Linked DNA regions of Alligator mississippiensis. The protein of the gene in region 3 interacts with the protein of the main gene of each other region in a biochemical or structural test. Links are inferred from orthologs where the notes say so. Each region holds a gene or a part of one and is shown on either strand. Other genes may lie near its edges. The genes, in order: RAD23A, CAPN2 and ATXN3.

What was found.
Region 1: the proteins of ATXN3 (region 3) and RAD23A form a complex in vitro, tested with the Homo sapiens proteins (2 studies listed by BioGRID). The link is inferred for Alligator mississippiensis from reciprocal best matches to the Homo sapiens genes ATXN3 and RAD23A.
Region 2: of the proteins of ATXN3 (region 3) and CAPN2, one has a biochemical effect on the other in vitro, tested with the Homo sapiens proteins (2 studies listed by BioGRID). The link is inferred for Alligator mississippiensis from reciprocal best matches to the Homo sapiens genes ATXN3 and CAPN2.

What each region holds. Positions count from the first base shown.
Region 1 is NC_081831.1:22,676,552-22,686,470, reverse strand, and holds the start of RAD23A (UV excision repair protein RAD23 homolog A), read left to right. Parts: upstream 1-5,913; 5' UTR 5,914-6,051; coding exon 6,052-6,123; intron 6,124-7,683; coding exon 7,684-7,845; intron 7,846-8,111; coding exon 8,112-8,281; intron 8,282-8,793; coding exon 8,794-8,849; intron 8,850-9,083; coding exon 9,084-9,211; intron 9,212-9,725; coding exon 9,726-9,801; intron 9,802-9,887; coding exon 9,888-9,919. Other genes in the region: CALR (calreticulin), read left to right, coding at 622-723, 1,096-1,299, 1,770-1,864, 1,953-2,162, 2,273-2,386, 3,332-3,475, 3,805-3,897, 4,336-4,530. UniProt on the Homo sapiens protein: Multiubiquitin chain receptor involved in modulation of proteasomal degradation. Binds to 'Lys-48'-linked polyubiquitin chains in a length-dependent manner and with a lower affinity to 'Lys-63'-linked polyubiquitin chains.
Region 2 is NC_081824.1:181,598,526-181,608,443, forward strand, and holds the start of CAPN2 (calpain-2 catalytic subunit), read right to left. Parts: upstream 3,987-9,918; 5' UTR 3,842-3,986; coding exon 3,605-3,841; intron 316-3,604; coding exon 246-315; intron 1-245. UniProt on the Homo sapiens protein: Calcium-regulated non-lysosomal thiol-protease which catalyzes limited proteolysis of substrates involved in cytoskeletal remodeling and signal transduction. Proteolytically cleaves MYOC at 'Arg-226'.
Region 3 is NC_081825.1:275,332,154-275,341,543, reverse strand, and holds the start of ATXN3 (ataxin-3), read left to right. Parts: upstream 1-4,808; 5' UTR 4,809-4,883; coding exon 4,884-4,907; exon of another isoform or gene 4,908-4,953; intron 4,954-9,390. UniProt on the Homo sapiens protein: Deubiquitinating enzyme involved in protein homeostasis maintenance, transcription, cytoskeleton regulation, myogenesis and degradation of misfolded chaperone substrates.

The DNA.
Region 1 (9,919 bases), on a different chromosome or scaffold from region 3:
CAGCAGCTCCTGACTGTCCCATCATGCCCTGGGTGGGAGGGGGCAGGGCCTGGGTCCAGGTGGGTTGTATAGCAGGCCTGGGTGCTGTACCATGGCAGACTTTGTACCTACAGAATGGGACCCAGGCCTCCAGCTGAAATGTCTCCTTCTGGAGATGTGCTTAGACATGGTCTCCCCTCAGTGTGGAGAAGGGACTGGACTTGGTGGCAGTGTGTGTCTGCTATGTATCCATTGCCACAGAGGTGACTGCATTTGTGTAGCAGGGGACTCCATCACCATGGATCTCCATCAAGCGCTGCTGAGATAAAGGCAGAGACTCAATTGTGAGGGGTGGGAGCAGGGTCCAGTGGCTGGGGCAAGGCATTGGCCTCTGAACTGCTGAGTTCTATGGCACTGTAACCATCCTAGGTCACAGCTTCCCTCTGCCTCAGTTTACCTGGTGGGTATGTATCCTGTTCCTCTCATCATTCTTGTCATCTGCAGTGGGAAGTAGCTTAACCTAGCAGCTTAACCTGGCAGTTTAACCACAAACCTACTTGTGTCCGGAGATGCAGGGAGGCCCTCTTTGCTGCCCCCTTCCCCCACCGTTTCAACTCCAAACCTTGTATCTCCCCTTCCCAGATACCTGGACGAGCCGCTGGGTGGAGTCAAAGCACAAATCTGACTATGGGAAGTTCAAGCTGACGGCTGGCAAGTTCTATGGGGACAGCGAGAAAGACAAAGGTGGGCACATTTCCTGCTGGTGGTGAAGGGAGGGGGCAGTCTATGGGTCCTCTTTTTGCCCACCCCTTGGCATCTCTGCTCTGTTCTCACAGCTAGGGTGAGTTGCAGGGTCCCCTCTGCTGCATGCTGCCCAGTGGGGCTGCATCCCATTGTGGACTCTCTCCAGGGAAGCAGTCACTGCACCCCCCCCCCCCCCGCCCCCCCCCCGGCAGCTTTGATCCCACAGGTAGTCATGGTACCTGCCTCATGACCTAAGGACCAGGTAGCAGGCCTCATCCCTCACTGCAGATGGGCAGAGCCAGTCCTTTCACACCTCCATTGGGGCTCTGCCTTGGTGGGGTCCTGATTGCACCCTCCCCCACTCCCCTGCAGGAATCCAGACAAGCCAGGACGCCCGCTTCTATGCCATCTCATCCCGCTTTGAGCCTTTCAGCAACCGGGGCAAGACGGTGGTGGTGCAGTTCACAGTGAAGCACGAGCAGAACATTGACTGTGGTGGGGGTTATGTCAAACTCTTCCCGGCCAGCCTGAGTCAGGAGGACATGCATGGAGACTCTGAGTACAACATCATGTTTGGTGAGCAGAGGGGTAGGGGCAGCTGGTGCAAGGCATGAGTCCATTTGGGCCCAGCCAGGTTCATGGTGTTCCACTCTCCTGTGGCTTCAGTTGTCAGGGTCGTGCTAGGAGTGGCTTTCCTTCCTTCTCATCCAGGGGCTGGTGTCATGCTTCTCCACAGGGGGGAATGCAGCATCTTCTCTACATGAGGCTTCAGGGAGCCCTTGGGGAGATGCAAATTCTTTCCCATGCTGGCCAGGGGACCAGCAGATCAGGGCGCATTGGGGTCTCCCAGGGGACCAAGCAGTGTGTTTGAGGGGAGGGGGAGAAATGGCCTGTAGGGGAACTAGCTCAAGTGGGTCTTTCCTGAGCTCACTGCCCTTGGTGGTTGGATGTAATGACCTTGGAGCAGGTTCTCCCAGCTCCTGCAAGGGGTTGGCCGCAGGTGCCCTCCTCATCACCATGCTTCCTAATGGCACCTTGTCCCTCAGGTCCTGACATTTGTGGGCCTGGGACCAAGAAAGTCCATGTGATCTTCAACTACAAGGGCAAGAATGTGCTCATCAACAAGGACATACGCTGCAAGGTGAGTACCCAGAAGGGGGGGGGTGTCTTCCCATGCCCTTTCCTCCATGATGCCTTGGCCCCTGCTCACCTGGCCCCTCCCTGTGCAGGATGACGAGTTTACCCACCTGTACACCCTCATTGTCCGGCCCGACAATACCTATGAAGTGAAAATAGACAATGGCAAGGTGGAATCGGGCAACCTGGAGGACGACTGGGACTTCCTGCCACCCAAGAAGATCAAGGACCCTGAGGCCAAGAAGCCTGAGGACTGGGATGAACGGGCCAAGATTGATGACCCCACAGACACCAAGCCTGAGGTGGGCACAGGCTGGCAGGAATGACTTGGCTGGGGCTGGGTGGTGGGAAGGATAACACGCAGTGAGGCCCCACTGGGGGAGTCTGACTCGTGCGGGACTCTCACTCCCAGGATTGGGACAAGCCTGAGCACATCCCTGACCCTGATGCTAAGAAACCTGAGGACTGGGATGAGGAGATGGATGGCGAGTGGGAGCCTCCGGTTATCCAGAACCCCGAGTACAAGGTGAGGTGGGCCAGGCCTTCCCATCCCCTTTTCCTTGCAGCCTGTACTGGAAGCTATATATATACCCAGGCCTTGTCGGGTGAGGGGGGAGATAGGGGTACCATACTAGAGCTATAACTAGACTGCCAGTGCCACACATCCTTGTAGAAGCCATGAGTACCATAAGACCACCTGCAGAGTCCTGCTGCCTGGCTGGGAGTGTCAGTTATGGCCTCAGCAAGAAAAAGGTTCCCTCTTCATAAACTTGGAGCTTGCTGCTCCTGGGTCCATGTAGGGTTGGGAATCTGCTGCATACCCAAAGAGATGAGCAGTCCTGAGAGCTGGTCTCTGCAGCAGCCCCTGCTTGTCCTAGAAAATTAGGGTTGGAAGGGACTTCAGAAGGCTGTCTAGTCCAGCGGCTCTCAACCTTTCTTTGTACCAGCACCCATTTCATAAACATTGACCAGTACCACCCCTGTGCCCCTCGCTCCTGACCTGCTGCCCCTAGGCCCCAGCTACATATCTTATCTAAACTTGCCTTACTGCAACTAGAGAGCATTGCTCCTTGTTTTGTCATTGGCTACCACTGAGAACAGTGTAGCTCCATTCTCTTTGGAACCACCTTTCAGGTAGCTGAAGGTTCAAATCCCCCCTCAGTTGTCTTTTCTGCAGACTAAATAAGCCCAGTTCCCTCAGCCTATTCTCATGGTGAGGGTGCTAGGGCACATGACTTATTTTCATTGCCCTCCGCTGGACTGTCTCCAACTTGTCCACATACTTTCTATAGTGGGGGACCCAAAACTGGACAAAGGATTCTAGATGTGGCCTCACCTGTTGCTGGGGGAGTGTAACCCACAGGTTGCCATTGGCCCTGGGGTTGCCATTGTGGGGGCCTGGGCCCTGTGGTGGTGCTAGCGTCCATGACCTGAGCCAGGTGCTCACTCCCTTCCCTCTGCCTCGCTACAGGGGGAGTGGAAGCCGCGCCAGATTGACAACCCTGACTACAAGGGCAAGTGGGTACACCCTGAGATCGACAACCCTGAGTACACGCCTGATCCCAGTCTATATGCCTATGACAGCTTTGGAGTTATTGGCCTTGACCTGTGGCAGGTGTGATGGCTGGGAGTGGGGAGCAACAGTGTTTTCTAAGAGACTGAGGGTGGGGGAGGCTGGCTGATTTCTGGGGCAGGTGGATGGTAGCTGGGGTCTCAATGATTCTGCTGCGCACTCGAGCAGTGAGGTGGTATAGGTCATGGAGCCAAAACAGGTACCTCTCCTGGGGGCTGGAGGTGGGGTGGGGAAATGGCTGTGGTGTGGGAAGTTGAGTCCCCTCCAGGCCCTGCTGGGTGATCCCCCTCATAGAGCAAGTCCCCTCAAGGGATCTAGCTGCCCCGCTGCTGCTCCGTGACGGTCTTGCTCTCTTCCTCCATTCCCTCCAGGTGAAGTCTGGCACCATTTTTGATAACTTCCTGATCACAGATGATGAGAAGTTCGCAGAGGAGTTTGGCAGTGAGACGTGGGGGGCCACCAAGGTATGGGAGTTAGTGTCATGGCACTACCCTTATCTCCCAGGAGTTAGTGGGCAGAGGCTTGTGGGGGGGTAGACATGCCCCCTTCTCAGGGTATGGAGCAGAACTCCAGGCCTCTGCTTGGCACTTTCCTAGTCAAGATTTCTCTTGGGTGATAGGGGTGGGGGACAAATCAGCCCCTTGCTAAGGGCTGAGGGCACAAGGTGCTTTGAAGAGGTAACTTTATTAGTGCTCATGGAGTCTGGCCAGGGTCCCCACAGCAGACCCTTGAATTGGGTCCCAGTGATAGTGACCTCTATCTGGGCGTTGGACCTGGAGGCACAGCTCTGCTTGTCCCCAGGGCAGGGAGATGTGGGAAGTAGCAGAGGCTGGGAGTGAATGCCCAGCCAGTAGCCCTGTCTTCCCTGCCCCTGCTAATATGGCTGCATCCAAACTCTCTAGGATGCAGAGAAGAAGATGAAGGAGCAGCAGGATGAAGAACAGCGCAAGAAACAGGAGGAGGAGGACAAGAAGCGGAAGGAGGAGGAGGGCGAGGCCGAGGGGGACGAGGATGAGGATGAGGATGATGATGACGAGGATGAGCCTGAAAAGGAGGATGAAGAGGAGACAGAGGGGCCTGGGAAGGATGAGCTGTGAGCACGCAGCTGTTGCTGCCCCCGCCTGCAGCAGCCGTGGGAAGGGGATACTGTAATGTCTCTATGAGACCCGAACTTTCTTTTTTTTATTGGTGTCTTTGTTTTGTTTCTGTTTTTGTTTTGGGGTTTGTTTTTTTTTTTTTTTTGTCCTTATTCCCATTTCCCCTCTTTTTCCCCCCCCCTTTTTTTTTTTTTTTGAAACATGCCCCCATTGCCAGTATCAGCCCCGGTCCTGTGCATAGAGAGGGCTAGGCCTTGGCCCTAACAGCATCCAGGGTCTAACTTCCAGGAGTTCACCTGTTGATAGCACTGGCTGCAAGGGATTAGCAGTGGGCTGGCTTCTGGCAGCTTCTCTCTACGAAGCAGGGCATGGAGGCTAGAAATCAGCATCTCTACTTCTCCCAGGCACCTCCCCTGCTCCCCCCACTCCCTTTTTATTCCTTCCAAATAGAAACTGTCCCCAGCCCCCTGCAGGCTTTCAGAATATGGGAAGAGGAAGCAGTGTGGGGGGTTGGGATTGATACTGGGGGTTGGGGAGCACCATCCTGCAGGAGTTTCTCTTCCCAGCCCAAAGCTGCTGGGTCTCTACAGCAGGGCTGCAGCTGCCTGCTCCCTCTTTCATCCCCAAAGCCGGCCCAGAAGTGGCACCTACTTTCAGCCGGCCTCTGAGCTGTGCCATATCCCTAATGGGTAGCCTGCATAACAGCCTGTTGCATCTGGGGGTCCAAAGCACCTTTTTCTGTAACAGGTGGCTGGAGTCCCTAGGGAACTGCACAGGCCTTTTAGGTAATGGGGGGGGGGGGGGCACTGCAGGGTAGAATGTAAAGAGAATCTCCTGGGTGAGGATGCAGAGCTGTGGGGAGGGGGGTGGGGAGCAGAAGACTGCAGGGCCAGGCTTGTTCCTACTACTGGAACTGCACCTGGGGGTGGGTGAGTGTTTGAGGGCTCTGGTCACACTTGAATGTATTGAGGACTGAAGAAAATTTCTATTAAATTAACTCTGTGTCTAACCCAGGTGCTTGTCTTTGTGTCCTTCCTCTGCCTGCTCTGCCAGGGGGGCCAGAAGGGAGGTCAGGCTTGCTGCAGCAGGAGCTGTGGGGGTCCCTGAGGATAGGAAGCCAGTGATCCTCTCAAGGGAGCAGAGTCTTGCATTCCCCTAGGCTTGGCTCCGCCTGCGACCGGGCCAGCCCACCCCCGCCATGTTAGCCCATTAGGGCTGCCATTTTATGCCCCTCTGTCATATGACCACTTTAGGGCCGGGGCCCCTACACATAACCTATGCTTCGTCATATGACCCGCTCCCCGCAGCCACCTCCCTTAGCACGTGACCGCCAGCAAGGCGTTTTTTCGCCTAGCGCACATCACTTCCGGTTGCCTCGTGTCACGTGCTGGGGCTGCTGCGCGTGGGAGCCGGAAGCCGCGGGGCAGTAAAATGGCAGCGGCGTGAGTTGCATGTTGTCGGGGCTGCTGTATACGTTGGAAAGAGCCGCCCGAGCCTCAGCCCGGCCCGGCCGCCGCCGCCATGGCGGTGACTATCACCCTGAAGACGCTGCAGCAGCAGACGTTCAAGATCCGTATGGAGCCCGACGAAACGGTGAGGGGCGCGCGGGGCGAGATGGTACGGTCCGAGCCCGCGAGGGGGGATGGGGATGGTGGTCTAAGCGGGGAGGGATAGAACGGTTCAAGCCCAGTGGGAAGGACGGAGTGGTACAGTCCACGCTGGGAGGCAGTAGAATGGCACGGCTCCACCTCGCTGCGGGGGTGCAATGGCATGGTTGGAGCTGAAGGGAGGAATAGTGTGGGTCTCCCCCACCCCGTGGTGCAGTCTAAGGTCCGGTCTCTCTGCCTTTTAAGCAGGCGTGGCCAGGCGCTGCCCCCCAGCGCCCCCTCGTGGTCCGGGCTCTGCTGCCGTCCCCCGATACAGCTCCTATAGGTCTCCCCCATGGCCTCCAGGTGCAGGGAGGGGGCAAGATGATGCCCCAGTGTCCTGCCTCCCTCCAGCATCCCAGCTCAGAGGTGGCTGCGTCTTGGCCCTGAGCATGCTATCTCCATGCAGAGTTGTGTAGCTGCACCACCCCAGAAGCAGCTGTATCTCAGTGGGGGGGGAGGGGAATCTGTATACCCAGCCCTTGATACGTGTCCCCCTCCCCAGAACCAACTCTATCTTGGTGTGAGAGGAGTGGGGGGCCCTGTATACCATGAACAACTGGTGCCTCGGATCACTGGGGATCACATGCCCCCCCCCCCGATGCTAGTTAGCGATGTGGGGGGGTCCCCCCTGCGGCCAATCTCACTCGCCAAAGAGCAGTTGTGCCACTTCTGGAAGCTGCGCCCCTGCTTTTGCTGGTGGCCCCGTTCCTCAGCTGGCACTCGCAGGGGGGGCACTGGTGCTCCTGCATACCCCCTTGCCTGTCGCCTAAACAGGGAGTGCAGCCTGACAAGAGTGCATGTGCACCCCCTTACATATTGCCACTGCTGTATACCCACTTCTCAGTGTGGTCCACCCCAGAGGTGGCTGCATCCCAAACCCAGGGAAGATTCCCCCTATCTTAGGCTGTGAGTAACAACTCTGCACCTTCACTGTCTCAAGGCCTGTCACCATTGCCTGAGTCCTTGGCCTCAGGGTGCAGCTGGGGCTGGGGTGATGCCAATTCCCTCTTCAAATAGCTGGCATCCTCCACAGCTCCCTGGCAGCATCAGGCTTAATTTTGGCTCCCTCCAGGGCAGGAGAAGCCAAAAATATTGCTGGACCCTGCCCACGGCTGACGGGGTATGGGATGGGCTGCAGCTGTTCTACTCCCCTCTCTCGGATGGGGGTGGGGGGCAGCACCTTTGGCCTGAAGGTGTGCCATGCTGGGTGTCCAGGCCTGTGGATTGGCCTCTAGAAAGACTGAATATGGGAAGAATGGGGTCCGTTTGTCAGGGACCTCCCCTAGCCATTAAGTGTGTGCTTCCCCCTCCTGCCACTGGCAACATGGTTAACAGGCTTCAAAGAGCTTTTCTGCCTTCCTTTCCACCCTAGAGGTGGCTGCATCTTGGCCTGGTGGCACTAGGGGGCATTGCATTGCAAGGTGCAGGCTGGGGGGCTGCAGATTGTGGGGGGGGGGGGTGGTCTCTGGGTTGGATCCCTGGGTGATGGAGGCTGCAATGGCAGGTGCGGGTGCTGAAGGAGAAGATTGAGGCGGAGAAGGGTCGGGAAGCTTTCCCCGTGGCTGGGCAAAAGCTGATCTACGCTGGGAAGATCCTGAGCGATGATGCGCCCATCAGGGAATATAAGATCGATGAGAAGAACTTTGTGGTCGTCATGGTTACCAAGGTGGGTGTGTCCCCCACCTGACACCCCCAGACCCATTTCTCACCAGCATCCAGCCTGGGAAGCACAGATGGGTGCAAGAAGCCCCTGGGGTCCTGCCTTGATTCCCTGGGCTGGCATTAGGGGGTGCTGTGCTGCTGGGAGCATTAGTGGGCAGAGTCTGCGCTACCACTGGGGGTTGGAGGGGTTGGCTGCTGCTTGAAATGGGAGGGGGGAGTGCAGGGGGCTGGAGTGGTTCCAGCTGCCCCACTCTGCTGCTTGTTCTGTAGGCCAAGTCTGGCTCAGGGGCCCCCATCCCCCCTTCTGCAGAGCCCTCCCAGCCCCTCCTGGCTGAGCAGCCCCCTACAGCACCTGCAGCTGCCTCAGCCCCCCCAGCAGCACCCAGCGAGAAGCCCTCCCAGGAGCCAGTGGTGACCAACCCCCCGGAGTCTACTGTGGGGTAAGACACCCCCTATATGGATGCAACTCTGCCATGGTGGGTTGGCGGCCAGAGCCAGGCATCCCTGAGTTTGAAGGAGTGGGGCTCCAGACTCTTGGGTTCTGTTCTTGCCTCTCTGCAGCCCGGCTGCGTGCAAGCAGCTTCACTGTTGTCTGTCTTGGTTTTCACATTGTGGCAGTCCCCCTCCCCAAGAAGGAGAATGACCTTGTGTTAACAAGGCAGTTTTGGGAGGGTTGTTGGGAGAGTTTAACCCCTTATGGTTTCCCCCATGGTGCTGGGGGCCCAGGTCCCTCTGTGGAGGCTGCAGTTAGGGAAACTGAGGCAGGTGCAGGGACTTCCTGGGGAGGCGGTGGTGCCTTTACTCTTCACCCCTCCCCACCAGGAGGTCCTTCTGCAGCAGGAGCCCAGGAGCTCAGCCAGAGGGGATGGGGGGGGGGGGGGTCTCGAAGAACTTACCCCGGGGAACAGATCATCCTGGACCCGGCTACTATTTCTCTCTCTTAAATCTGCAGCTCTGTTCCCTCTTCAGGTAGCGCCGGGTGCGGCGAGGATGCAGCCTCCACCCTGGGTAGGTGAAGGCGGCTTTCCCCACTTCCCACTAGAAAAGGGCTGGGATTCCCAGGGTAGGGGTGAGGGGCAGCAGTCTGGGGTGGAGGAGGGGGCATGGAGCCAGGAGCTTGTACTCCTGGGTTCTCCAATCCTTTCTGCAGTTCTTCTCCAGCAGGGAGGGTTCCCCGTAGTAAAGAAGGAGGGGGGTTTGGCTCAGCCAAGACACCCCTGACACCGCACCCTCACTCCCCAGTGACTGGCTCAGAGTACGAGACAATGCTGGCCGAGATCATGTCAATGGGCTACGAGCGAGAGCAGGTGGTGGCTGCACTCCGAGCCAGCTACAACAATCCTCACCGTGCTGTAGAGTACCTGCTCGTGGTGAGCCCCTCCCCTGGGTGCCAGGACAGCTGGGTTCTGCTTCAGCTCTATGGAGGGGAGCAGGGATGAAGGATCAGAGCAGAGGGGGACATGAAAGTCACCATGACTGCTGTGGCTTATCCCTAGCTCCGGGGAGGGAGGGGTGGGTAGGAGCTGGGGGTGAGGACCCAGGAGCCAGGATGCGTGCGTTCTATCCCTAGCTTTGGGGAGGAGTGGGTAGTGCTGGGAGTAGGGGGCAGGGAGCAAGGATACCTGGGTTCTCTTATCCCTAGTTTTGGGAAGGGGAGCAGAGGGGTGGCCTGGAATGGGGAGTGGAACCTGGGAGCCAGGACAGCTGGGTTCTCTCCTGTGGGCAAATGCAGGGAAGTGCTGGGTGTGGGGAACACCAGGGGTCTGGCTGTAGCCCTGAGTAGAAAAGGACCAGAACTCCTGGGTTTTCTCCAATGGATTTGGGAGGGGGTAGAGCTGGCAGCCAGGATGTCTGGGTTCCAACCTCTGCCACTGGGCCCCACAGGGCATTCCGGGCAGCCCTGACCTGGAGCGAGCACCCATCCAGGAGAGCCAGGCCCCAGAGCCACCGACATCTGAAGGTGGGTGAGCCCTGCATGGGGGAGAGGGGCTCTGGGACCCTGCCCCTTTGGGGGTGTAGCTTAGCTTGACCACACCCACTCCCCAGGTGAGAACCCCCTGGAGTTCCTGCGGGAGCAG
Region 2 (9,918 bases), on a different chromosome or scaffold from region 3:
TCAGTGGTATTGTGTACAACAGAAAAGGAAGACACAGTCCTCATCTGGAGCAGCTTTCATGGTCTGGAGCATCTTTTATAGGACCTTTAGTGATGTGATATGAAGAGAGATGGGAAAAGGAAAGGAGAGTAGGCAGCAAAAGAGAGAATTAGACAATAATTTAAGAATTCAATATGAGATGGTGCAATGCAGTACTTGGTCATCTACGGTAGCCTCAACTGAAACCTGAACATAATGTGTCTTACCTAAGGCTCCCTGGCAGATATCTGTGCGGGTGGCACCTCCAACAATGAACTGAGGATTAGAGCACAGCTCCTATAAGTGAAATAAATAAAGCATTTAATAAATAGACAGGCTTTGTACCTACACTGGGGGCTTTCATTATCTTTCTCCTTGCAGATAATCCTACTGTATCCATATATGTGGCCACCAAGTGTTGTGGTGATTTCCATTACAATACAACAAAACCACTAAAGGAAGGCAACATCAGAGAAATGAAGGAGATCAAGAACAGAGAATGGTACTGACACCACACAGTAGGGAAGGGCCATTATGTCAACAGGTTTTCACCAAGGGTGCCATGTGATTGCTAATCTCTATCAATCCATATACATAGACACGTGTGTGAACAAATTAACCTACCCTTTGGTTTTCAATACCACATCTGAAAGACCCCAATGGAGTTAATTGCAAGGGACTTCTATGCACTTTGGAATGACTTACAACTGAGTTAACACTTCTAGTATCTTAATGGGTATTTGGAGGAAGCTTGAAAGGAACAGGCTGTTTATATCACCAGGTATGGAGACTGAGTAGTACGTTGCACAAATCACTCCCCATGTTTGCACTCCCTACTTTGCTAAGGAAAGCAGTTTTCTAAGGTGACGCATTATAACTGTGAAATGAATGGGCATTCATTTCTAGTGGTGGAAATTTTCCACGGCTAGAAATGTTTCCGGGAGAGGGAGCAGTACAGGTATCTAGCCTGCAACCATCCCCTCTCCCCTGTCTCTTCACCTTCCTTAGACCAGGGTGATCCCAGTCTGGGGAAAGCATAGGGAGCAATGACTGCTCCAGTTCTCTTGCTCCCAGGGGTACTGGAGCAATGGGGCAAAGTCCCATGCCCACACCTCACACCGGGACCCTGGTGAGAGAGAGCTGGTAGGGAGAAAGCAGCAGCTGTTCCTCCCCTCCCAGTAACCCTGGTGTAGGGAAAGCAGGGAGCCTTTCCCCACTACTTGACTACTCCTTGGACTAGGAGGAGGCAGGCACCAGCTGCTCCCTTGCCTTTCCTGGTCTAGATGTAGGAAGTGTTTCCTCACTGCTCAGTCCCTCCTGGTCCCTGAAGGAGTCAGGTGGCAGTGAAGTGTATAGGCTTTCATTCCCTGGGAGAAATCCTCCCAGGAGTGACCTCTACAGAATCAGAGATGGATTATTTTTTCTCCTGGAAACACCATTTTTGTTTTGGGAGAAACTCTGTGAATGCCTATATGCTCATGGTTTCTACCAGGACAGCTAAGATTTTCCTGGTAGAAATGTAATGCCTGCATGGGTTGTGACCTGTACCAAAGCAAACACGTTTATCCGGGAATTTTAGGCTGTAAGGCAAAACAGCAGGTGAAGTTTATTCTTTTCCTTCCTGAAGAAATAGAATTCGCCAATGCCCTAGGCTACCAGCCCTGTCACAAAAGTGCCTTTTGACTGCATTTTCTAGTTATCGGGCTCCTGCCTCTGAAGATTTTTCCATTTGTTCTTGGACTTGTTTCAATGGTCTTTGGACCAAATTCCTTCCTGTTTGCAATTCTTTTGAGTTTAAAATGTGTTATGCAAAGGCTAAATCAGGGCCTTTGCAAAGGCACAGAATTCTGACTGACACTTAGAACAGCTTTATTCAAATGTACACAGCTTTATTCAAATGCAGAGGAGGAGCGCTGAACATGGTGGGACGGGGTACTACTAGGTTGTGGTGTTTTTTTGTTGGGGGAAGATTTGCAAGGGGTGGGGGTTTGCCCAGCTGCCTTTCTATATTAGTAAAAGCAGAGGGAAGCATAGCTCAAAAGTTGGGGTGGAGAAGGCAGTGTGACTGGGAAAACTGAATTGAAATCATGGTGACTTAGAAAATGGAGGGTGGCACAAGCAACCCCGAGTGCTCGGGGCACAGGAAAAGTACAAGTTCTGAGAAGGGCAAAGCCCGTTGCAGCACTTCTAAAACCTGACAGGTATATTTTACAAGAGACCTATGGGAGTGCAGAGCTTGGTGCTCAGGGCAGGGATAATTTGCAAGAGCTGGGCACAGATTCATACCTACTTACACCAGCTGTATCCAAACAAATTATAGTCAAGAAGGAAATGTGGACAAATGGATCGACTCACATCCCAAAACAGCCGGCTGGCACTAGAAGAGTATAAGTCCCTGCACTAGATGTGTGTGCACATGCAACGCTATATATATAGGAAAGCACTGAGGGCGCACAGAGAAAAATGAATGTGGTTTTTCTTACATGCCTTTCACTTCCTGGAATACTTGCACTGAAAATAAACATAACTGGCTGGCTTCAACTACTGGCTTCCAGTTTACAGGGAAAAAAATGTTTACTTGTATTGAGCTCAGGATGAGCAAAGCAGTCGACTAAAATAAGAAGTTTGTGAGTGATTCTCCACTCGCATCAATTTTACCCATGTAGCTCCACTGACTTCAGCAATTGCTCTGACTTAAATCTCCTTCAGAAGTAAATTAGGTGCTCGCTCAGACTGAACTGAATCTTGCTACAATTCGAAAAAATCCACTGAATCTTCATTTTCATTTTTGTGCCTCAGTATTTAAGTCCTAAGAGTCCCAAATTTCCTACCAACTTTCCAACTAGGTTTCTATAACAAAGAGCATTGGAGAAATCCGAACAAAACCTCTGAGGCGTCTGAGATTAGCCTGTTTCTATACATCATGGAGTTCCTAATTTCCTACATCTCCAGGCTCAAGTCCTGGCTGTGTGACAGCACCACACACCTCTCAAGTGCCTCCCTGGGTCCTCTGGCAGCACATTCCTACTGCAGAAGTCAGTACTGTACTTTCTTGGAAACATTCGCAATCAATAGCTAGGTTTTCACTGTGGCGTGCCGCAGTTTAGAGAAGTTGTATTTCTCCTCCAGCGATAGCTGCACATGGCACACAATCAAGTACTGCTATTTATCTGGGGGCCCTTCAAGACAAGGGAACTCTCAGCCTCTGTTTCAGGACAACATTTTCTATCACTCAGTCAGGTTTGATTTAGTACTTATCCTGCTAAAAATGGGCCCAAGATAATAAATGTAGATCCAGACCCAAGCCTGGGGTAGTTCTATGCCAGAGGTTGGTTTGGGTGTGGCCCATCACTAGGGAGAGAGACAAGATTGAAGACTTAGGTTGGATTCTCCAATGCATTGAGTTATTTCCACACAGTCCTGCCCAATTTGGTCCATTATACCTGACTTCTCCACCCACAGCAATTCCCACTGTGATCACTGCAACCTCCCCGCTTTCAGCCAAGCAAGCACATACAGTAACTGTATCACTTGGTGTTCACCTTTGATCTCCCTTTCTCCCTCCCCACAGGGCCCATTATCCTACCGTTGGTCTCTTCCATACGATGCCCTGAGTTTTGTATGAATTTGGTCCCAGTTCTTTGTACCCCAGAGAGGAGGCAGCTGCAAGGAAGGATGGATCTTGGAAGAGTTTCCCAGCCTCAAGGCACTCCTTCCTCAGAGTCTCAAAGTCCTGATTGAGGTATTTAATGGCTTTTTCATTGGAGCCTAAGCCCCTTGCTGTTTCTCTGTCCTTGGCTAATTTAGCTGCAATACCAGACATGTTTGCCTTCTGCTGCTGCTGCTGCTTCTGCGGGTAACATAAAAATGCGAGCCTTCCTGCTGCTCAGCAGAGGGACATCTGAGACCTAAAGCAAACAGCAGCAGCAGCAGTGTGTGGAGCCAGACCAGGGCGTGATTCATCGGAGAGAAACAAAAAAAACCCAACAGTGAAAGCAGGCGTGGCTAGTGCTTAAAGATGCAGCTTCTTCCTGGTGCCCCTCTTGTGATTTGAGTCAGTGGCAGGGTGCCCGGATGAGTCTATTGTTTCCAGCAGTGTATCTTGCAAGGCAGAATCCTCCTCATTGGGACGCTCCCAACCATAGCCTCTTAAGCAGCTTGTCTGGTTTAGAAAGGTTCATTCCCTTAAAGAGGGAGCTTACACGAGCCAATATAATAATCCCCACTCTGTGGAACAGATCCTGGGGTATTTTTGCTCCAAAGCATGGACCTCTGCCATTTGACTTAGTTGTCAGGAAGAGCAGCCATAGGCTCTTAATTTGCCCCTGTGTGCCAGCTTGTCAGAGGGGGGGACAACACATTTAGCCACTGCGAGGCACACTTTGACTGCTAGGGAAACTTATTCTGAAGTCCTCAGCAGCTCAAATCCCCTATGGTGCATCACGTATTCATGAACAATGGCATGAGTTGTCAGCAGGAATAAAACCAAGGACTTTAGCACCAACACACAAGCCTTCATGGTCAAGACCAGGGGTGTCAAAGGTATGGCACATAGGCCAGAACAGGCTCATGAAACCATATCATCTAGCCTGTGGGGCTCTTGTAGGGGCCAGAAATAAGGAGGTGAGGTGGGGCCCACCGCCAAAGTCTGGAGCATAGTGTCCTAATGGGGACATCTATCAGCAGTGGAGGGGCAAACAATGAGTGTATGTGGCTCAGGAACCTGTAGTGGCTAATGCCACTGCTGCTTGCCCTACCACCAGAGGTAAGCCTGGATCCAGCCCATGAGGAGCCCTACAGTTCAAAAACCAGCCTGGGAGTCAAGTGAGTCTGACATCCCTGATACATGCTAAATGTGATGTATATGCAGATTGTATGGAATATGAAGCCTTTGTTTTCTGCATTTTACTCTGAACAAGTTTGCACTTGAAAAGGAATGGGCCATTCCTGTATTTGGTATTTTACCTTGGGCTCCTTGGGAACTGAAGCATCAATGGAACTGGAGGATCATTAATTAAATGTAAGATCTTTCCTCCTGACAGGGTACGAAATGTTTGAAGGGAGCCTTGAATCTTTTCTACCAATGCTCTACAGAATACCCAGGAAAAACAGCAAACTGAATGTTTACTATGCAAATAGCATGCATAATCCCTCTCCCGTCTCTCCACCCTGCCCCCACAAATAATGCATTGTTCTGTTGTCTTTCCTGCAGTCCCAGATGACAAGATATTTGCAATTACCTCTATTATTGTTAATTACATTATTGCCTAAAGATCACAATCCCATTGTGCCAATCACTGTACAGAATAGTCCTTACCCTGGAAAGCCTAAAATCTAAATAGAGAAGATGGAGGAAGGATCTACATTTTACAGGTAAGACAACTAAGGCAAAGAGACATTAATGTGCTTTGCCCAAAATTATACAAAGTCTGTGGTGGAGCCAACAGCTGAAGCTTTGATTCATGGATCCTAACCCAGTCAGTGCTCTGCGCTCTTCTCCAACATACTGTAATGCAATGAATGAAGGCCCTCTGCTGTTCTGGCTCTCAAGCCATTGGGTGCTTGTGCTGCCAGGTCATGTGGAAAGTTTGCTAAATCACAAGCAAGCCCAGCATACCCAATAGAGAAGTATTTTTTTTAAATGTAATTTGTATCCAAGGCCAAATTAGCCAAAACTAATTCCAAATCCAAGAGTCGAACCATAAATGACCCTACTACCGGCAAATATCCTCCACCTGCACCTGAGGCTTCAGATGTTTCCTAAACCTTTGGTGGGCATCCTACATGCAGGCCCAAGCCCGGAGGCTTGGGGTTCAGATACCTTCAAGTTTTGCTTGCCCTCAGCCATAAGGTCCTGGGAGCAAGCAAGGGAGGAGACTGCCATTTCCATATGCTGGGCTTAAAGCTGCTGCACCTCGGTGGGTACTGAATCAGCCAGAAGAGCATCTCTCCTGCCAAGTGGCTCAGGAAAACTGCCTTCTTGCACCCAATAGAGAAGTTTGTTTTTTGTAAAAATCTCTCTCTCTCTCTCTTCCTCTCCCTCTCTCTAAGATTATATATATCTACACTCCGCATATCACACCGCAAAAAGAAAAAAAAACCTTCACAAGTTACAAAAAAACGCGCTCATGCACCCGTACAAAGGCCCACTGGCCACCTGAACCCGTTACAATATCCACATCATGCGCAACACACGCCAAACAAAAAGCATATCCTGGTCCCTCAGACCAGGCAACACTTCCTTTCCATCCCTGCCCCTCTTGCAGGGTCACATACTCAGTTCAAGTGTCTTCTCTCTTGCTGTCACTCCAGCTCCTGCTAGAGGACCCGCTGCTGTGGTCACTGTCCTCTGTTCCGCTTCTCCCTTCCTCTTCTTTGCTGCCACCGCCCCCTTCTCCACTCGGGGGATGTTGGATGACCCTGTGCCACATGTCTCTGTGCCAGGTGACTTTGGCAGCGTCTTCTCCATCCTCTACTACCGATTTCTGGTAGTAGGTCTAGAGTTCGCTCAGAGCCATTTTCACGCAGCCTGCTACCTCTACATCCATTTGCCTGTGCAACAGGAGGTTCCTGGCCTTCCACAGGGCACTCCTGACGCAGGATACAAACTGGTTGAAGCAGGGCAATGGGGCCCAATAGAGAAGTATTACATCAACATAAAGACGATGTTCAGGCAGTAGGTATCATAGCTACTGTCCTTCTCTGAACAACCACTCTCAGGTCCCTCACAAGCTGTTTATTACTATATTGGGGGTTTGTATACCCCACTTTGTGCAGCACTTATCAGTGCTATGGGCTCACTTCTGTGCACCCTGTGCAATCATATTGATGGTGGAGGTTGCACACAGAAATCAGTCTTGTGAAGAACAACAGTAAAAGACTCCAGCCCTCACCTGTCTTTAAGCAGATCCACCCTTCAAGGACTGCTTTGTTCACCCCTTCTGCAGCCTGAATCACAAACCCTGGTGGGTGCAGCGAATGTAACATTCCATTTAGAAGGAGAGCTGCGTGGGTGAGTACAGGGTGGTGGCACTAGAATAAAACCCTGGCTCTTTCAAAAGGTTTCTTTTGTCGTTCAGGGGAAAAAATTAACAAGCCAACCAATAAAACCCATTCCATCTCACTTTGTCCCTGCTTTCCTCATGTACAGATCTCGCATTTAAGTGTTATCAGCTGTTCACACTTATTCCTTCACTCTTGAACCTGAATCTTACCACATACATAGGGTCCAGGAAAGTAGACTTTGGTTGGGCAAAGCCTCTGTGGGAGCCAAGGGAAGTTTCATATCACTGCCCTGGCCTCCAGTGTCTATAGCGGCAGCTGCAACTAAGAAAACGCATGGAAGAGGGACAGTAAAAGCAATACAACCCTCCCAGAAAGGGGCAGTTTGTTTGAATGACTCACATAGTTTAGAGAGTGACAGCATTAATGAAATTTGGTTTGCTTCAGATCCATTGTTATTCCTTCAATTCAAATCAGAATTAAGCTGGTTTGTGGGGTCAGGCTTATAAAAAAGGACTTCACAATACCCAGCCCAGCTGCTAGTGAGGTGGAGCTCAGGGTTTCCTGCCCCCGCCTGCCTGAAAGATGAGTTGGAGCATAGAAGGGAGGGGAGAGGTCACCAAATTCCAGAGTTATTTTTCCCAATTGAAAGCTTGTGCAGATTCATTTTTTCCAGGCCGTAGCACCACTGCTGGCCAGCTGAGCTGCCAACATTCCCCAGAGGAGGGAGTAACTCATGGAAGTTACCAAAGAAGCTTGACAGGACAACTGTACAGGTACAGCTAGTCTGTAACCAGGGCCCAAAAAAACAGTCATAGTGGATTTTTATTTGTAGAATAAGAAAAGCAGTGGAATTAAATTCAAAGAGGCCGGTCTCTCAGTCTCCCACGAGGCTAGCACGAGGTATTCTGCTGTACCAGGCAGTTCCTTTGGAAAGCTGCCCTGGCATAACAGCTGGCTTGAGCCAGGCTGCTGCAGTGACTCCTTGCTGTTGCTGTTGGTGCAGAGATGGGTAGGCCTGGCTAGATTACTGTCCCTCCCTGATAAGAATAGGCTGCCTGAGCTGCCCTGCTCATGCAATGTGCAGACTCCCAGCTGCTATTACTGATTCCTTTGAACACTGTGGGAGCGATGTCATTGAAGGTATTGAGCTCCCTACACACAAAGGACACTTGTACATATAGGGGGGTTTAGTCCTTAGGGTTGCATTCTATGCCCCCTACATTGAAATGGTGGGTTTTTAACTGAAACCCACCATTTCAATTTAAGGGTTTCCGTCACTGTTACGGCAAGGGGCCTGAACCTTTTTTTTTTTTGGCAGAGCATCCCTGCAGCCAGGGGGAGAGCTGCTGGTAGGCCGAGTGGCCCATGAGCTGCAGGGGGCCCTGGTCCACCCCTCCACAGTGGCAGTGCCCCCTGGGGCTGCCTGGGCAGGCTGCTAGCAGGCTGCCCCAGCTCGGAGGCTGTACCCAGCCCAATCACACTGTTCCCTGACCCTGAGCTGGGACAGCACCTGTCCTGCTCATAGCCTGCCCAGGCAGCCCAGGTGCCTGCTGAAGGCAGAAGCAGTGAGGGGCCTAATCCTTTTTTTTTGGCAGAGTCTGCCTGTCTCTCCCGCAGCTGGTAGCAAGCTGACTAATAGCTGCAACACATCATGGCAAACTAAACAACATCAGGGTGTAGTTTAGTTTGCAATGATGCAAACTCATTTAAAACCCTCAAAACTCCTGCACGTGTACAGTGTGACAAGCCACACAAAGTAACATTTTTGTTGTGTGTACATGGTAATGGCATCACATGTACAAGTGCCCAAAAGCTGTGGTGGGAAGGAAGCACCTGGACTTGAGACATACCAGTGCGGCTGCTAGGGCTCCTGACTGCTGGTACATGTGTGCTGGGGAAGGGTTCCTGCCGTGATCTGCTTGGTCTTTTATACAATGTACCACCTGCTTCATCTTCCAGAGGAAAGTTCATCTCATCAGGTTCCTGTCTCTGTTGCAGCCAAAAATCCAGTGACAGTTCAGAGGGAAGTGTGAGCTCTTATATACTGAGAAATTGCAGAGATCCCCCATGGGATCAACCCAACCAAGTTGCTCCCTCCAGAGGGAATCTGTGTGGAGGCATCTCTTGAGAACCCTAAGGTGGAAGGGCACAATATTTAGAAGATAGCCCTGTACACCTCTGTCATATTGAATGTAATGCTTGTAATAGTTGCCCATTAGCCAGTTTAGAAAAAGGTGAGGTTCATCTTCTTATCTAGGTTCATTGTTTTACCTGGCCTTACAACGAAGGTGCTTAAAGTCTTGGCTCCTCGATCTTATCTTTAGAGGCCTTTAACAAGTTATCCTAAGGACCAGAGAAAAATGACCCTTAAGCAAACATTCCGAGAGATCAAACCCCTAGAGGCCTTTTGAAACTGGGTTGTAAAAGAAAGGTCACTGCAGTGGTATGGAAAATCTTCCAAAGCAAAATTTAAGATATACTAAATAGTCAGCAGACAAATTCCGTTGCAGAAGACAAACTGACCACCTAGCAAAAAATCTGTTGAGTAAGATCTGAGCCCAAATTTGGGAGTAGTGACAGGTTTGGGTAGGAGGGGCCCAAGACAGCAACTCACTCAATAAAAACTGTAACCTACAGTCCCAATTTGGAGGTAACCTCACTTGAAGAACAACAAAGGAAGAATCGCAAGTGTAGGCCGGATCAGACTGATTACCTGAACCACCCTCTCCATGAACACGAATCCCTTAGTTCACGCTGACACCACAGAGCACCCGAGTGGGACCGAAGGAAGGGGACTTGTTCCTATCACTGCTGAGGCCAGCCCATTGAACTGTACTGCTGAGGCGAGCCCATTGAACCGTACTACTGAGGCCAACCCATTAAATTGTACTACTG
Region 3 (9,390 bases):
ACTACCATCCAGGAGTCACTATAAATATAAATGGGCCTTCTAGGACATGGACCTTCTACTAATTCCCGCACAGCCATGCCGAGCACTGCTTGGAGCTCGGCATACTGCGCGCGCTTTTTCCGAGGCCTTGTAATACTACTTTCTTGCCATCTCGAATCCTCAAGGCAGCTGCTCTCCAGGCATGACCTCGAGCAGACCTATCTGTAAACTAGACTTTAACATTGGCTGAGGTCTCCATTTCAGGTGAGAAAGGAGGTGCTTTTTTGATGGGTGAAGGTTCACTGCAGCTTGTTTGATCAGGATAAACATTAATTGTACTTTCTGTGACTCTTTCAACTAATGCAGGGCATCCCTTTGGGGTTACTCGTTGGACCTGGCTCAAAATGTAATAAATCCACCTTTGGACTGTGGTGTTTTGGGCTCTCCCCCCAGGTGGTAGCTGGAAGTCTGACAGAGCCATTCCGAGAATAGGTATCAGAGTAGTGATAACTGTGGGTAACTCTCCTGTCAGTGCTTCTGTGGCTTCCAGGGCCGCTGTTGCTTCACACAACCTCTGTTCTAAGAGAGTATACCTTGCTTCCGCCCCTCTCCAGCCTCGGCTCCAAAATCCAAGGGGTTTTCCTTCTGTTTCCGAGGACTCCTGCCACAGGCTCCAGTGTGGTCCTCCTTCTGAGACGCCTATATGGAGCCAAAGCTCTCCTTCGGGACGTCGTGCTGCTAGGGAGGCATGAACAGTTACTGCTTCTTTAAGGGCTTGTAAGGCATATTTATGCTTAGGACCCCATTCCCATTTAGTTCTCTTCTTACATAGGTTATACAAGGGACGAGCTAATACGCTAAACTCAGGAACATGCATATGCCAAAAATTGAGTGGCTTGCAGTTCTTTCACGTTAGTGGGAGTTGGGGTCTCCACTATATTTCGCAGCTCCTCAGTTGGTATTGTGGGCCCCCCATTCTGCCATTCTATTCCTAGAAATTCACACTGGGACCCTACTTTTTGGATTTTCTGTTCAGACAGCGTGAATTCAAAGGTAAGCACTTTCTCTTTTAATGATTCAAAGGCCTTGGTGGCAGCCTCTCTGTCTTGACTGCCTACTATGATATCATCTATATTTTCTTGGACTTCATGAACTATTGTAGCTAAAACCCCATGAGCCAGGGTGGGGCTGTGTATCCACCCCTGGGGCAACACGGTGTAGGTATACTGCTGCCCTATCCACATGAAAGCAAATACTGGCCAGTGGCTCTCCTGGATGGGAATAGCAAAAAACATGTCTTTGATATCAACGGATCCCATCCACGCAGGTCCATAACACTGGATGCTTTCTGTCAAGGCTGGTAGTGACAGGACGACAGCCATCAAGGGGTCAGTATTAGCATTCAAAGCTCGAAAGTCAATAGTCAGTCACCACCCTCCATTTGGCTTGTGCACTGGCCATGCTGGATTGTTATATGGAGTGGTTTTGGATAATAGTTTCGTCTTCTAACTGCTGACTTATGATACACTGGCTAGGTTTGGTGGCCTCGGAGGGAGTTCGATACTGGGGTCTGTGTACTCCTTTCATGGGAGGCAGAGTTAGTGGGATCATGTTACATCGAGTTACAGCTGTTATAGCTGTTTCTTCTGTTTCTCAGTGAGGCACTGCGCACCCAAACTGCCAATTCTTTTGTTCAAGGGCAAACCGCTGTTCTCTTAGTACACTAAGTCCCAGTAAGCTTGGTCCCCCCTTAAGTATCACTGCTGCTGCTGTTACCTTAGAGTCATTAGGTAACGCGAAGGTTGCTTGGACCAGATGTCCTGGTCGTCTGGTGCCTCCAACTCCAATTACTTGATAAGGGGTTCCTTTCTCCCCCTTCCAATCTGCAGAATCTAAAATTCAAATCTGGGCACCCATGTCTAATAGCATATCAATGGACTTTTTACTTTTACCTAATTGAATCTGTACAGGTATCTTAATCAAGGGGCCAATATTAACTTTAGATACCGGTCCCCGGCCCACTATTGCCCCCGTTGTGGCCCCTTTCATTGGGGCTTGGGTCGGCCGGGCTTCCTAAGCCACATAATTAGGGGGTGTAAAGGCTAGCAGTCCTGCATGTGCCTGGGAAAATGTCAAGAGTTCTGCCCTCAGGGCAGAGAATCCCTCTGGTGACCCTGCTGGTGGTGCAGATGGCTCTGCTTTTTGGCTTGCTTTTTTCACTGCAGTGTTTAGCCCACAGCCCTTCCAAAACATTGGTGGGCACTCCATCAATTTGCACTTTATTAAAACTGGCAGCTAACAAGTCTTTCCACAATTTCGCTCGTGGAGTCTTGGGCCGGCCCTCTCCAGCTTTTTCCAACCATTTGGGGGGATCAGGGGGTTTGTCTTTTGCTGAGGCCACCACCATGGCCTTGGCAGTTTTTGTTGGCTTAGCCAGCCCTGGCTTCTGCAAAATGGGTAAAAGCTGCACTAATCGCCGGATCACATCTCTTACCGGGTGATCTACTGCCCCTGGCTCCAAGGCCAACAGGGCTGAGGTGCACTCTGTTGGTGCTCATTGGCAAAACCTCCTCCACAACAGTGCTGTCTTAATATCTAAACAAATACAGAAAAACACTCGGTCTAATCTTCATAGAGCCTTCAGCAAGCACCTTTATCACACAGACATAATTTCCAGCTGTCACAAAGGATCCAGATTTTTAATTCTACCTTTTGTGATATGGAATTTGTATGATGCAGCCTTGAATTCATTTTCTAAATATCTTCTCCCTCTAAAGCAGTGATTCTCAACCAGGGTGCTGTGGCAAAGTTAGCAGTGGTGGGTGTATGGACATGAATCACAAGCTAAGTCCAGAGACTTTGAATAGGAATCCACAGTAGTAAAAACATTACAAGTTCTTTCCAACAGGAGAATTACTATATCTTCTGTAGTAACAAATGAGTGAAAGCTAAGAGCTGGCATTTTCCTAGGGGTGTGTTAAGTCTATAAATGCTGAGAACTACTGCTTGTTCATTTAGATCAGTGTCCTGTCTCCTATCAGTGACCTTTGGTGTGACCAGCTCTGGCAATTCTCATTTTCCTTGCTGTGGCATTTCTTGTTATGGGGACTCTTCTGCAGAACAGGAAAAGGTCAGACCCTAAAACCTTATAACTTTCTTCCAATCTGTATGTTGGTTCAGTGCCTCAGAGCAATGCTGAGTCCTCTAAAAAGTTCCTGTTTGGGAGGGGGGGGCGGTGTTTCTAGGTGCCCGTGCCCATGCCCTGAAAGTTTTGCCAGTTGTTGATACAAGTATTAACTTGCAACAAAATCCTAGTGGTTTTGAATTTAGAAGGATGTTATGGAAAGAGCTAATGGAAGGGTTTATTTTTAGTCATCAGGTAGTATAAATAGAACTTCCCAGTTTTTTATTTCATCCCAGAAACTGAGAAACAAGATGGCAGTCAAAAGTAGAGTCTGCTAGAAGTCCATTTGGGAGAGGTGAAAGTGACAGCTCAACATAGAATCGTAGAAAATTAGGGTTGGAGGGAACCTCAGGAGGTCATCTAGTCCAGCCCCCTGCTCAGAGCTATCTAGTCCAGCCCCCTGCCCAACTATCCTTCCAGCCAAAGCTTTGCTTAGCTGGGTTTTGAAAATCTCCAAGGATGGCCCTTCTACCACCTCTCTGGGTCACTTGTTCCAATGTTTTAGTACCCTCCTAGTGAATGATATAGTGATATTTCCTAAATCTAACCTAAACTTCCCTTGCTGCAACTTGACACCATTGCTACTTGTTCTGTCATCTGCCACCACTGAGAACAGTCCAGCTCCATCCTTTTTCGAGCCCTTCAGGTAGTTGAAGGCTGCTATTAAATGCCCCTTCAGTCTTCTCTTCTCCAGACTAAATAAGCCCAGCTCCCTCAGCCTCTCTTCAGAAGTCATGTGCCCCAGCCCATAAATTGAGACTTAAGATCACTTTCCTACAACCAGACTTAAACTGCCAGCCTTCCTGTTCCTAGCTCAGGACTTGGGCCCTTCAGCCCCAGAGGGACCTCAAATGATTGAGAAAGAAGGCAAAGCCCAACTGAAGCATCCAAGAGTGAGACACGCTTATTTTTCTTTAAGCTGGAAACATCAGCCAGCTAAACAGCATGGATGGAGCAACTAATGATGCTGCCATGTCATCAGTCTGGGATTTCAGTGTTTGGATATGACAATGATGGGGAGCAGTGGTCTTTGCCTGGCCACTCTGTCTCGTGTACCAGCCTCTGGGAGAATGAATGAGGTTAAATTTGGTGAGATACACCTTCTCCTCCCTTCTCCCGTGTCTTCTCTTTCACTCATTCCTGTTTTCAGTATTATTGTCAGACATGGCCTGTTGCTTAGAAATAACTCCCTACTCCTTCCCCTTGCCTGTTGTGCCCGGGGGAGAGGTTTGTGTAGATCCTAGTGAAAATGCCATCGTCTTTGTGCCTGAATGCCCCGCGTGCAGCTCAAGAAGCGCTGGGAAATGTATTTCCTAATTCACCCCTTCGGCCAGACCTACCGATCCCCGGGCTGGCGGAACCGGACCAGGATACCCAGCGCTCCGCAACCGGCAGCGGGCGCCACTGCTGCGCTAGCCGGCCGCGCCCGTGCAGCCCTCCCTTCCCCGCGCCAGCGTCTGGATCCTCCCGGCCTGCAGAGGGAGCCCGCGCCGGCGGCAGTGACGCTACTCCGGAAGCACGTTCCTCCCCAGCCGGCCCAGCTGCCGCAGACATGATCTGCCTGTCGAGATGTTATTGGGCGGGGCGAGAGCCACGTGGCCGCGTTGAGGGCAGGGAAGGAAGCGGGACTGCTGCGGCGATTGGCTGCTGGTGAAACGCTATTCGATTGGCTGGGCCGCTGTCACGTGAGGCGGAGGCCGCTGGCTCGAGACAAATAAACATGGAGTCCATCTTCCACGAGAGGGTGAGCGGGCGGGAGCGGTTCGGTCGGGGGCGGGCGTTCCGCGCCGGTAAGAGCGGGGTGGGGAGCGGGCACGGGCGGGACCCTGCGTCAGGTGACGGGCAGGGCAGGGCGGGCCTCTTAGTGCGAGGGAGCCTCTCGCCAGATGTCGTAGAGAGGCCGGGGCCCAGGCCCGCGAGCGCAGACGGTGTTGGTACAGGCACCCCCGCTCCGTCTCGAGCAGGGCGTTGGGCTGGCCTTCATGGGGTCTCGCCCAGCCTGTTCTGGTGGGACTCGAATAAATGCTTCCTCAGTGGCGCACTGGAGGTCTTGCAGTCGCAGGGGGGTGCTGCAGCTACTTCCCCCAGCCCGTGGGGCTGGTGTAGCAGGGGCCTTTCCAGCCTGGCCCCACAGGTCCCACAGATTGGGTCCTGTGTCACCCCAGCACACTGTCTTTGCCCACTGGGATCAGGCTGTGAGGTTTTGTGCTACCCCCACCTAGCCCCATATGCCAGGATCAAGCCCTGCACCACTGTGCCTAAACTAGCATGTAGCACTACAACCCACAGATGGGTGGGTATTCCCACAGGCCAGATGATACAATGCCAAGGGCCAGATCTGGCTCATGGGCCACCCTTGCTCTAAGGTAACTTATTTTATGTGAGCTTTTGTGACATAAAGGGTGAGTCAAGAGGCAAGGAAACTGAGGGGGAAAAAAATTAAACCTTTTGCTTGTAACAGGAAGTTAGCTTTAGTGTTTAATATGGAGGGAATAGCAGCCTTCAGTGACTAGGAAGTTCGTAGGCTCATCTACAAAAGGTGTTTTGTAAGTTTTCTTTGCTAATCCTCAAAAGAAACTTGCAAAACATCTTTCATAGATGAGCCCAAAACTTCACTTTGTAAGTCTAATGGATACAAAATTCATGGACTTAATATAAACATTGGACTTGTGACGTATTACAACCTGCCTGACATCTGATTCACCAGGTACCTGCCTGAGCTTACCGTCTGCATTCTTTCCCTGTCTTATCTCTACCAATTGTCTTCCTAACTTCCACCTATTTACATTTCCACAGATGTCTTGTAGCACTTTTGGCTTCTTTCCTGCCTTGGAGATCTCGGAAGCAGAGCAGTCTCCCAATGCCTGAAGAAGGGTGCTTGTGCCTGAAAGCTTACAAAGACCTTTTTTCCAACTATTTAGTTGGTCTAATGAAAGATACCACATCTACTCAAAGAACCTTGCCTTATCTGAACCATACTTTTGTGCTGTCCATCCCTCCTTTTAGTCCTATCCCAATTTATTTGAAGATAAATGGGCTTTGTTACATATTATACTTCAAGCTTCTCAAAATGTCTATCGGCAAGGTATTTTAGTAGATGTGATATCTTTTATTACCCCAACTGAGTAGTGGGGGGAGGGGGGGGGGAAGTCCTTAGCCAAGCTTTCAGGCACAGTCACCCTTCTTCAGGCATAGGGAGTCTCTGCTGGTCTTAGACTCCATGGAATGAGAGAAGTTAAGTGTGGCAGGATGTCGGTGAGAATGTAAATAGGTAGAAATTAGAAAGACAAAAGGTAAGGCAGAGGAGGGAGGGGGAAGAAGGCAGGGGAAAGAGAAGGGAGACATTATACTGATAGAATACAAGGTAGAAAAGAGGCTGTCTGTGAAAAAGGGAATAGCTGGAGATTAGGAAAACAGAACTGAGAGAAGCTAGAAATGTGACAGGATGTCAGTGAAAATATAAATAGGTAGAAATTAGAAAAAAGGTAAAGTAGGGAAGGGAGGAGGAAGGAAGCTAAGGAAGGAAAAAAGGCTAAAGGGAACATACAGAGGCAATAATACAAGGTGAAAAAGAGGCATCAATGAGAGGAAATATATGGAAATCAGGAAGATAAAGAACAGAAAAGTATGGAAAAGGAGAGGAGAAAAGGTGGGGGAAAAGAAGAATGTAAGAGGTCAGGTCAGGCAGGTACCTGGTGAATCGGATGTCGGATAGATTGTAACGTGTCATAAAACCAATGTCTATTTTGAGTCCATGATTTTTTGTTTCCAGTAGAGTCATAAAGTGAAGTTCATAGGCTCGTCTACGGACAGTGTTTTGTAAGTTCCCTTTGAGAATTAGAACTGAGAGTTTGGGGAGGGAGTGATTGTCCTCCAAGAGGTGTGTCCCCAGTCTTAGTTAGATTTTTGGTTGTATTCATTCTACATTCAGAAGTCAATCAGCATCAATGTTAACTCGAGTTTTTATAAGTTACATATTTAGGCTAAAATCTTCTCTGACTGTTCTGAACTTGCACAACTGTGACTTGCCACAAAAGGGGCAGTAAGCAGGAGCCTGATTAGAAACTACAGCTATAAGTTGCTGCTAGAGCAGGAGTGGACAATTACTTTGGCTGGTGAGCCACTTAATGAGTTTTGGTGAGCTATTGAGGGCTGCACACAAAATCTTTCAGATATTTTTGTTTTTTAAAATCTATAATTTATTTAAAATCCTATATTAAAATCCAAACATCTACTAAAACTTTATCTCAAAAAAGATTTTCTGTCCTGATTTATGTTTTGAGTACCATATATAGAGGTAATTGTATAATAGCTCAAAATAAAGTCTTACTATTGTATGCTGTGGGGAGCGTGTGGACATGTGTGGGCAGCTGCCTGCATACTAGGTACTGGAAAAAGATGGAAGGGGGCATGTGCAGCACAGCTCACCCAGGTGAGGGGCAGGTACAAGTGCAGTCAGCGCTGCCCCCCCTCCAATCTGGCCTGCTGCTGCACCCACATGGGGTTGAGCCCCGCCCATGACAGTCTGCCACAGTCCCACAGTCACCTGTGGGTGGCTGAATGGATGGAAGGTGGCCTGGAGCTGGGATCGGGACCTCGCATGCTGGGGCAGGAGCCACCTGGCTGCAGCCCCCCTATCCCGGCTGGGCATCTCCTGGCTTGGCGTGTGTCTCCAGTCACCTCCTACCCCTGCTTCACAGAATGGCACAACATGGACGAGGAGGAAGAAGAGCTGCTGCTAGAGACCAGGGGTACTGAGCAGTATTCAGGTGGTTGCAGCTGCACCAAGAGCAGCGCTGAGAAGCTGTGTGCTGGAGCGGTGGTGCCTGGCAGGCATGGGTGGGAGCGTGGCGGCACTACCTCGGGCAGAGCCTGGCCCCATTCAGAGTGCTGTGGGGACCGCCAAGCCAGATACAGTCAATTGACAGGGGCCCACCCGCAGGCCAGATCCAATCAGATCTGGTCCACATGCCATATTTTGCTCACCCCTAATGCTAGGGGGCTGGCGAGCCAAGCCAGACATCTATCCCTGTTCTAGGTGTGTGTGGGGTGGGGGAGTTGGGTTAGTAGGAGGGGGAGTAGGAGGCTGGAAAAGTTGCGGCCTGGCTGTGCCCCCCCCCCCCCCCCCCCAAACCTCTGGCCCATGAGCCAGATCCAGCCCTTGGCATTGTATCATCTGGCCTGTAGGAATACCCACCCATCTGTGGGTTGTGGTGCTGCATGCTAGTTTAGGCACAGTGGTGCAGGGCTTGATCCTGGCATGTGGGGCTAGGTGGGGGTAGCACAAAACCTCACAGCCTGATCCCAGTGGGCAAAGACAGTGTGCTGGGGTGACACAGGACCCAATCTGTCCTGCAGATAGGCCTTGCACCATTTATCTGCCTCATGGGGCCAAAACTGTGAGCATCAGTGCCTTAGGGCAAACCTTGTTCAGTTTAAATCTCACAAAGACTGTGTGAAATGGGGGTTTTAAAGTTTTCCGAGGATTTGCTTTCACTTGAGCCAAAAAAAATTTAAAAATTATATTTCCAAGTTGTATTTATACAGAAAGTTCAAGCACAATTTTTCCTGAAGTTTCTTATAAATAGAGTTCTTTTCACACAGTTTGAGAGAATTGAGTGTATTGGAGTTCCTGTGTTAAGAAAAGAAATGCAAAAGACATAGACAGGATGGGATGATTTAAATCAGCAAAGAGGAAGCCTTTATTCAAATAATTAATTTTAATCTTGCTTTATATTTTGACTGTAGTGTTGCTACCCCAAAAAGCTGATTCTCTTTAGGTAATATAATTTGGAATTACTTTGCTTCTTACCAGGAGGATATGCTAAATCTTTGCACATTTATTTGAGCAGTTCTATAGTTTCATTTACTTTTATTTAGATTCTTATTTTTTACATGGTATTGCCTTAGAAAGCCATGAATGCATATTATTCTCCTAAGGGGGGGAAAACTTTGCTAGGAGCAAGTTAGGAAGCAGTGGCTATCTTTACTAAGGAAGCTTGTGGCCTTTGCTCCTTTGAAAATAATTGGAGATGATAGATTTTCGAAATGAGCAGTTCTTGGAAGATTATAGGAGGTCTTGCGGAATAATAAGTATGGTTAAGGGCCTGCAGACCAAGCCCTACGACGAGAGACTAGAGAAACTGGGCCTTTTCAGCCTCCGCAAGAGAAGGTTGAGAGGCAACCTTGTGGCTGCCTATAAGTTCATCATGGGGGCACAGAAGGGA